2 linked regions of the Coturnix japonica genome follow. The protein of the gene in region 1 purifies or fractionates together with the protein of each later gene. This does not show direct contact. Links are inferred from orthologs where the notes say so. Each region holds a gene or a part of one and is shown on either strand. Other genes may lie near its edges.

Region 1 (4,515 bases):
GTGGCTGCATTTCAAGAGTTCAGTTTCAAGGGCCAGTTCGGGCAGCTGCTGGATGCAACCGCCAGATCAGAACTCAGGATAAGGACACAGCACAAGAAAGAAAACAGCCACGAGAACAAGCCGTGGCTCACTGAGACTTGCCAGTATTTGCACCCAATACAGATATTTGTATTTATGAAGGTATGGGCTCCAGCCTCCAGACCCAGACCTCTGGCCAGGCCCAGCTCCAATTTAATCTCCGGTGCATTCATCAAAGATTAACTTGGAGATAAGGACAGAACTAGAAATATTTGAAGCCCAAAAACCTGTTGGGGTACTTTTGTTATGGAAAGCAAAACCATCTTGAAATGTGCAAAAGAAATGTAAACGTAAAAATATAAGAAAGACAAAGTCTGGTGATCCACTGACATATTTCTGAATTCTTCCTCTTTTCGAAGTTTTGAGGTTTGAACATTATGAACAGTTGACTGTTTGAATCGTATAATGCAATACCTGTTCCTCTGGCTTAACGTTACCATATTTCCCACACCGCAGGATTGCTTCACATTATTCTAAGAGGCAGTGTCATTTTCCCTGCAGTGCTGGGTCTTCTTTACTGAGGCAAAGGACACTCCTACTTCCTTTAATTATATGTTTTGTTTTAAATTAATGTCCTTTATTCTGGGGATGAATCACCAGCTTGTAGACAGGTAAATGTGGGAGTAAGAGAGTGAAAATAAAGTTTGATTCCCAAGGTGGGTGTCTTTAATTAAAACGGACATCGAGATTCCGTCTTCCTTCCCAAACTCACCCCGCGATTCTGACAGTGCCCGGATTCCACGGTTCCGAGCACGTATCTCACTCTCTCTGAGTTTAAAGGAATGCCTTTAAACACGGTCCCCTCTGGCTTCAGACCGCGGATTCCCTGTCGCCTTTGTACCCTGACAGTTGCACGGTATCGTGCAAAGTAAATACACTGAGGCAAACTTCAGTCACGGTCCCCGCACGCAGAGATGGGGAGCGGAGCGCGGCGGCTGCTCGGCTCTGAGCTCGCTGCCGTCAGGATGCGGCCCCGGCTGCGCCCCGCTCCAAACTGCGCTCGCTCGGCTCTTGTAAAATGGTTCTGCCCGCGTCTGAATGGGACGGTTCTGCCTGACAGTGCGGTTCACTCAGTCAGGCGCTGGACGGAGAATAAGAGGATCTGTCTTCTATTTGCAGCTTTTTCCCCCGCTTTGGCAAAAGAGCTCGGAAAAACGCCTTCTGCCTCGATTTCCCCAGGGGTAAAACGGGACCCAGACGGGTTTTGCACCCAATTCTGCGCGGCACACGCGGCCCCACAGCGCCAGCCCTTGCTCTCAGACGCGAAAGGCCCGTCGCGCTGGCAAAAGAGCAGCGGCGGCACCGGAGTCCCGGACCGAGCGGTGCCCGCTTTCCCCGCAGCCGAGGGACAGGGACGGGACGGGACGGGACGGGAGGTCTCGGCCGCCCCGATGCTGGCGGCGGCGGCTCCGTGCGGTCCCTTTCCCGCACAGCTGCCCCAGGGCCCGCACCTCACCCGCACCCGCAGCCGGCGGCGTCCCGGGGGCCGGAGCGGCAGCTCCGAAGCGTGCAGCGTGGCATGCGGCCAGGCGGTGACGCGCCTGTTGCTATGGGATCCACCGCCCCTATAAATAACAGAGCGAAGGAACTTTCCTAAGTCAGAGACTTGAGGACACGGGCCCCGCAACCAGATGGTCCGCAGGAGAACCGCCAGCTCCAGCCGCAGCTCCGGGAGCGGGAGAGCCCCGCCGCGCCGCACGGACTGAGCCGCCCGGGCGGGCAGCGCAGCGGGGCCGTGCCCAGCGCCGGGCTCGGGAGACCCCCACCCGACGGCGGCCGCTCGATTCCGTGCCGGGGGGGCCCTCCGCGCCGTCTTCTCCTCCCCGCATCTCCCTTTGCTTTCATGCAACGCCTGGTGGCCTGGGACGCAGCATGCCTCCCCATTCAGCCGCCCGCCTTTAAATCCATGGAAGTGGCTAATTTCTATTACGAGGCGGACTGTCTAGCTGCTCTCAACAAGCTGCACCCGCGGGCGGCCGGGGGCCGCTCCATGACCGAGCTCACCGTAGGGGACCACGAGAGAGCCATCGACTTCAGCCCGTATCTGGACCCCTTAGCAGCATCCCAGCAGCCGGCGCAGCCGCCGCCTCCCGCAGCAGCAGCAGGGGGCAACTTTGAGCCTGCCTGCAGCAGCGGCGGCCAAGATTTCCTTTCCGATCTCTTCGCCGAGGACTATAAAGGCAGCGGCGGCGGCAAGAAGCCCGACTACACCTACATCAGCCTCGCCCGGCACGGCCACCCGTGCGGCAGCCAGAGCCACAAGCCGGGGGGGCTGCCGGGCTGCTTCCCGCCCCAGATCGTGGAGACCAAAGTGGAGCCGGTCTTCGAGACCCTGGACTCTTGCAAAGGGCCCCGTAAGGAAGAAGGGGGAGCGGGGCCGGGACCGGGGGGCATGTCCTCGCCCTACGGCAGCACCGTGCGCTCCTACCTGGGCTACCAGTCGGTGCCGAGCGGCAGCAGCGGGAACCTGTCCACCTCGTCCTCCTCCAGCCCCCCCGGCACCCCGAACCCCTCCGAGTCCTCCAAGTCGGCCGCCGGCGCCGGGAGCTACTCGGGGCCGCCGGCGGGCAAGAACAAGCCCAAGAAGTGCGTGGACAAGAACAGCGACGAGTACCAGCTGCGCCGGGAGCGCAACAACATCGCGGTGCGCAAGAGCCGCGACAAGGCCAAGCAGCGCAACCTGGAGACGCAGCAGAAGGTGCTGGAGCTGACGGCCGAGAACGAGAGGCTGCAGAAGAAGGTGGAGCAGCTCACCCGGGAGCTGAGCACCCTCAGGAACTTGTTCAAACAGCTGCCCGAGCCCCTGCTCGCCTCCTCGCCCCGCTGCTGACCCCCGCGCCGGGCCGCGGGGCGAGCTGAACGCTGCCCCCCCCCCCACATCCTCCTCCCGGGGCCGGGCCGCGTTTTCGGTTTCGTCGGGGGTTTCGTTGTTGTTGTTGTTGTTTGTTGTTGTTTCGGTCTCTATTTGCTTCCTCCCCCCGGGGCCAGGGGGCGGCGGGCGGCGCGGGGGGGGCCGCGGCCCCGGGGCTCTGCTGGGCGCTGGGGTTATTTAAAACGGCGAGAGGAGAGCGAGGGCGAAGTGATGCAATCCTTTAAGCATGGCTGGGAATGCTGTGTACATGATGCAATCTCGTGTAACTGTCAGTCATGGATTGAGTAATCTGTTAAAGATGTTCCTACAGTTTTTTTTTTTTATTATAAAGAATAATCTATTTCTATATGAAAATACATATGTATATTTTGGGATCTATGCATTCTTGCTACATTTGAAGCATTAATGAACGATTTTAATAAACTTTATGACTAGGTTAAAAAAAGTAGCTTGTTTTATTTTGAGGGTGCGTTTTGAGTCAGATGAAACGCAGGGCTGACATTCCAGCTGGATCTGGCTCGGCGCTGCCAGCAGGGATAGGACTCGCGTTGGTCTTTTGGCTTTCTCTGCGACTCAGAGAAAAACAAAAACAAAAACCCCAAGAGAAACCAGCAAAGAGCAGCGCTGGAGGCTCCAGCCAGTCCTCGCTGTCTCAGTTTGGTTCCTCTAATCACTTGCTTGAGCTGCCACTTGGGTACTGCCTGGGAAGAGGCGTTTGTTTGGGGTGGTGGTTTTTTTTTTGCATTTTTTGCTGTTCCATTTGTGCAGAGCGAGGTGTGCTGTCCAAACCGTGACCAATCTGGTGAAATAACTGCAAGGCTCAAGTGGGAGGGAGAAAGAAAAAGTGAGGGAGGAAGCTTTCACTTAATTCTTTTTTCTTCGAGGAGTTCCTGTTCTCTGAATTATGATTCAGTGTGTCTTATGTTTGTAGTTTACAGGAATAAACATGAGAAAGTAGCGCCTCTATTGGATGTCGGTAATGTGGTCACTGCCCGGAAGCTCTCGCGAAAGCCGCCAGGTGAGAGGCACATCACCAACCCCTTGACTTTCCTCTTGTGATGCTCTTCTCAAGCCTGTAGCTGGAGTTTCTCTGTTGAGAGGTGTTTGTGTGTCTGTTAGCTGGGAGAAAGCAGCTGATAAGTGAGGATGGGGCAGGCTCTGTTAGACTATAGATCAGGCTGGAGCTCTGTTCTGCCTGCTGATGGAAAGATGTGCTGCTGCCGTGCCCTTCATGCTGCTACCAGAGCTCTGTGAGCAGCTCACGGGCTGGTTATGTGCACGGAGCTGAGAGAAGGACTGGGTCTTACTCAGCATGTTCCATTTTCCTGTTAGGCCAACTTGAAGCACTATTTTAAAATCCAGATTCCCAGTGCCCCACAATAGGAACTCCTTAATCGTCTGTGCTGAGTTGAATCCAGAGGAGTTTTTATTTACCAAGAGAGTGGGTTTGAATTTGCTGCAGGCAGGGCAGGATTCCAGGACAAAGCCTGAGTCTGTCACTTATTCCCAGTGTTCCCTTTAGCAAAGTGTGTTTCCTACTGAAGGAGCTGCTGTGCGTTTTTGTC
Region 2 (4,249 bases), on another chromosome or scaffold:
AAGCAACTTTTGTGCATTGGATTTTGCTGTATTGCTTTTCCTGCTTTCCTTATTGTGGAGGTTTTTGAGATGTTTGTTGTCTTGGATTCCCTTGGTAATGACACGACACGTAATCTATTCCTGTTTAAAGTTGTAATGATAGCAAAGTCGTTGTAATTAACGTAGTGCAGGTAAGCAAATAGTTGCCTTGGGACAGCAGTGTGGGTAAGTTAAATTTCCACGTGGACAACCCCAATTGTGCAGTTCCCTGTTTGCTACTGCTGTGACATGGCAAGAAGTGGTTGGGGTCACGTGCCTTGACAAGAAGATAGATTTCGCTCAGAGATATCTAAAAATATACTGTAAATCCACATCGGTGCAAATTGGAGTAGAACCCAGCTCCTCACTAAGCGAGGTAAACACAAAAATCCAAGGGCAGTGAACTGCCAGCAGGTAGAAAACCACTTGTCCAGCTGCAGAGGTTTCCTCACTTTGAGTCTCAATGACCACAAAAGAGCCAAAGATTTCCCACATCCCAGGGGTGAAACGCTGAAACCACTGAAATCAAAAGGAGTTTTGCTGTTGACCTCAGTGGGGCCAGGATTTCACCCTTGGTTGTTAAATATGAGGAAATAATTAGGAACAATTTGTTATTCAGAAAGACCTTGGGAAATTTATGTAATTCTCTTCAGAAAGCCCCTGCTCATGAGTCACATTTAAAGTGCCGATACATTTTAATACTATAATCTCAGAAAGCCACCAGTTACTTTTTTCCCCCCGAGTCAGAAAGGCCCTGTGATTTCCAGCTGAACTGCTGGCATTATTTAGCACTTCCCAACACTCAGCCGTTCAGCTCACTGAAGCAGCCAGACTCCGTGACACTGAGCCCCCACTGTTCACACAATTTGGAGCTGTGCTCCCTGACCGTCGGTCTGCTCCTCTCCTGCTGCTGCCTTCATTCAAAACACTTAATTCCATATAACTCAATCAAACCAGGAGATTTCAATTAACAATAAAACCATTTCTCCAGCACATGGAATAATTAATTGGGCCAAGCATTTCTCAGCATGGTGGGAGGGTGGAGGGGGGGGAGGTTATTCGTTTATATTTCAGTTTAGGTCAACTTTAATTAAAGTCAGCGCCAGAGGAAACGAAGAATGCCCGTGTTTTAGTAACGTGCCTGAGAGTTGCTCTTATCTACCAGGCAGTGCTATTCCTACAAGAGCTAAGTGCACCACGACCCCCAGTGCAACCCTACTGTAATGTCCTCAGGTATCTATTGATCCACTTTCAGTTTATAAAAACATGGAAGGGAGGCTGTCACTGGGAAGGGAAGCCCAGAAAGAGCAGTGCCCTTGTCTGCACGAATCGTTGACCTCCCAGGCACCCTGACAGCGTCTCCCTTTACCCATACTTTGGAGCGGGGGCCCTGCCAGAGGCCAGGCAGGCTGGAGGGGTCCTGTCCCCAGCCCACCACAGCTGGCAGGGCTCCTTGCCCCACGCTGACTCTCCAGCGGGGCTGGGGCCGGTACATGGCATGGCAGGATTCCTTCCAGTGCACGGCTTTGGTGGTCGGGAGTGACAGGGATGTCAAAAATAATTAGCCTGTGCTGAAGCCAATAGTAAGCCAAACAGATTGGCTTTCCATAACAAAAGGTAGATGTTTTCCAGTTTCTGAGGAACAGATCTACTTTTAGAAATGCGTTATGAGGATGGAGATTAGATTTTCCTAATAAACATAAACCGCAGCAGTTTGCCCTTTCTTCTCCCAACTTCTGCACAAATTGTTCCTCTGTCTGTCAGCTTTCAAGAGTGTCATGCCGCTCTTCCCTAGGTCTGCACAGCAATAGGGATATCTAGCCTCAAATTGCAGTTACATCTGGGCTTCCTGATCCTATCTGTTTACTTCATTAGACCGTGCACATGGATGGCAGCTCCGGTCTATTTTGAGGACTTCTGAAGTTACTGGAACTGAAGGTGTCGAACATTTCACAGACCTGACCCATAAAGGCACAGCTTGCTCCCGCTGCGAGCTCACGCTTCTTTACTTTATTCTTAGTTTGGCAATTCCCCGGGGAACATTTCTGCTATTGCTGGTACCTTCGGCTTCAGGTAGATTCAATCAAGTCTGCTCCCGTCACTATGCTTTGTTTGTTCTTTTCTCAGCGGCTCTTTTCATCCTCACCAAATCTACCCATCTCCTCTGCCGATGTTTTCGCTTCGGCACACGATTCCTAGCCGTGCACTTCTGTTAGTTATGCGTATTCCCGAACGACTTCTCGGAGTCTTTCCGCTCGGCTGCTGACGGCTGACCTCTCGGTTTTGCTTCTTCTCATGAATTCCTTCTCCTCTGGTGCTGATGCAACAAACGCCGATAACCATTGAGGTTAATCTTAAACAGCATTAAGGGCAATTACAGTTCACAACCTCCGTGCACGCCGGTTGACCTTAAGCTTTCTGACATCCCACATCACTCCCGAACCACTTTCCGCCGGCATCCACCCGCTCAAAAGCCAGAAGAACCCATTTCGAACGGGAAGCTACTTCTCTCTAACAACTTTTCTATCGAGCCACGCCTGCCTCGCTTAGGCGAGACTTCAGCAGCCGGTCTCCGTGTCGGACATCGGCACAGAGAAAGAACCGCGCGAGTCCCTACCGCTTTTCCTCCCGGTGGTGCGGGCTGCCCGGCGCCCCGCAGCCGCTCCTCGGCGCCCCGTTGGCGGTCGGAGCGGCGGTCGGAGCGGCAGCGCGGGCGGTCACGGCCGGCATCCCCCCGGCGCCGAGCCCCGCGCTGCCCGCCCCCGCGAGGCGCCGAGCGGCACGGCCGGCCCGGGGCAGCCGCTCGGGACTCCGCTCCCGCCGCACCCCGGGAGCGGGCTCCTCCGCTTTGCCGGCTCGTCCCTCTCCCCGGAGCCGTCCCGCGGTTCCTACCTTGGATCCGCCGCCGGCCGGGGCTGTTCGCCGGCCCCGCCGCGCCCGCTCTTCCTCCCGTGCCCGCTCCGCCGGCGGGAGAGCAGCGCCCGCTCGCGCTCCCCGCGCCTCTGCCTCTCGCCGCGGTTGCATCACCCCCCTTATATAGCCGAGCGGGTAGAGCTGGTATTTACTCTGGCGGCGAGTCCCGGGCTGATGTCATGCTATTAATAGCTCCCGGAGGGCGGGCGGCCGGGCGGGGGGGCAGCGGGGCCCGAGGCGGTGATGCAAGGCTTTCCCATTGCACGGAGGGCGGGGCGGCGCGGCCTCGCTCTCCATAACAGGAGCTCACCGAGCCGGGCCGGGCCGCCGGGACCCCGCGGGACCCCCTCCCCCAAGCGGCGGAGCGCCCCGTGCCGGCAGCGACCCGCGGGACGGCAGCGCCCGGCACCCGGCACCCGGCACGGGGCCGTCCTCCCACGGCGCTTTCTTTTCCCCTTCCCTTTTTTGTTTTTTTTTTTTTCTTCTTCTTTTTAACAGACTTCAGGGGGCGTCCCGACTTCTCAGGCGTGCGGGACTTAGCCGTGCTGCTTTATCATAAATCAGAGTCCTTCTCACGGCTCGGAGACGGTCAAACTAAGTGAAGGCAGCGCGGCTTTCGAAAGGACTAGAAAACGGGAGCCCTTTTCGCCCCCAAACTGTTGAACGCCCCCTCCCGAAAAAAGCCGAACCACCCCGCGCTCGCTCCGTGCCGCTCCAGCTGACGGCCCGAAACGCTTCCCCGTATCGGGGCGGGGGGCTTCAGTTCTTAGCCCGAGGAAACGGGGAAGGAGCCGTTTAATTAAATTCCAGAACGCTGAAAATAAATAAATAACTTCTCCCCTTCAAACGGCGCAGCACGCGATGTCGTTCTGGTTTCGGGGATAACCGGAGACTCCCCGTAGGAGGCAGGGGAACGTGTTAGTGGCGGTGGTGAAGGGGTTTTGTTTTGTTCTTTTTTGTTCCCACAGCTTCCTGGTTCGGTAAGTGACAGCAATTGCCTTCCAAAAACGCTAGAAAATAGACGTATCAAAAAAGCACCTATCCGAGAGCGCGAGGCTCGCAGAGATTTGCACAGAGTTATCCAATACGATAATACTCCATCCTCGGTTCATACAGACTTGTTCTCTTTGGGTCTCCCTGCTAAGAACGGGAAGAGCTTGGAGACTCGTTTATTCACTTACAGCACAGACCCCGATCAGCCCTTCAGGCAGTTAATTCATTTTGCAGCGTTCACGGGGCTGCATTTGGTAACGGGTAACACGTCTCGAGTGGGAAAAGCTGGCACATATCGATAGCTTAGAGCATTTAACCGAGGACA

Evidence for each region.
Region 2: the proteins of CEBPB (region 1) and ATF3 purify together in Homo sapiens (affinity purification with western blotting; 3 studies listed by BioGRID and IntAct, with this or other methods). This does not show direct contact. The link is inferred for Coturnix japonica from reciprocal best matches to the Homo sapiens genes CEBPB and ATF3.

The regions. Positions count from the first base shown.
Region 1 is NC_029535.1:12,271,720-12,276,234, reverse strand, and holds CEBPB (CCAAT/enhancer-binding protein beta), read left to right. Parts: upstream 1-1,542; 5' UTR 1,543-1,921; coding exon 1,922-2,908; 3' UTR 2,909-3,916; downstream 3,917-4,515. UniProt on the Homo sapiens protein: Important transcription factor regulating the expression of genes involved in immune and inflammatory responses. Also plays a significant role in adipogenesis, as well as in the gluconeogenic pathway, liver regeneration, and hematopoiesis.
Region 2 is NC_029518.1:19,271,929-19,276,177, forward strand, and holds the start of ATF3 (cyclic AMP-dependent transcription factor ATF-3), read right to left. Parts: upstream 3,048-4,249; 5' UTR 2,911-3,047; intron 2,581-2,910; exon of another isoform or gene 2,336-2,580; 5' UTR 1,977-2,335; intron 1-1,976.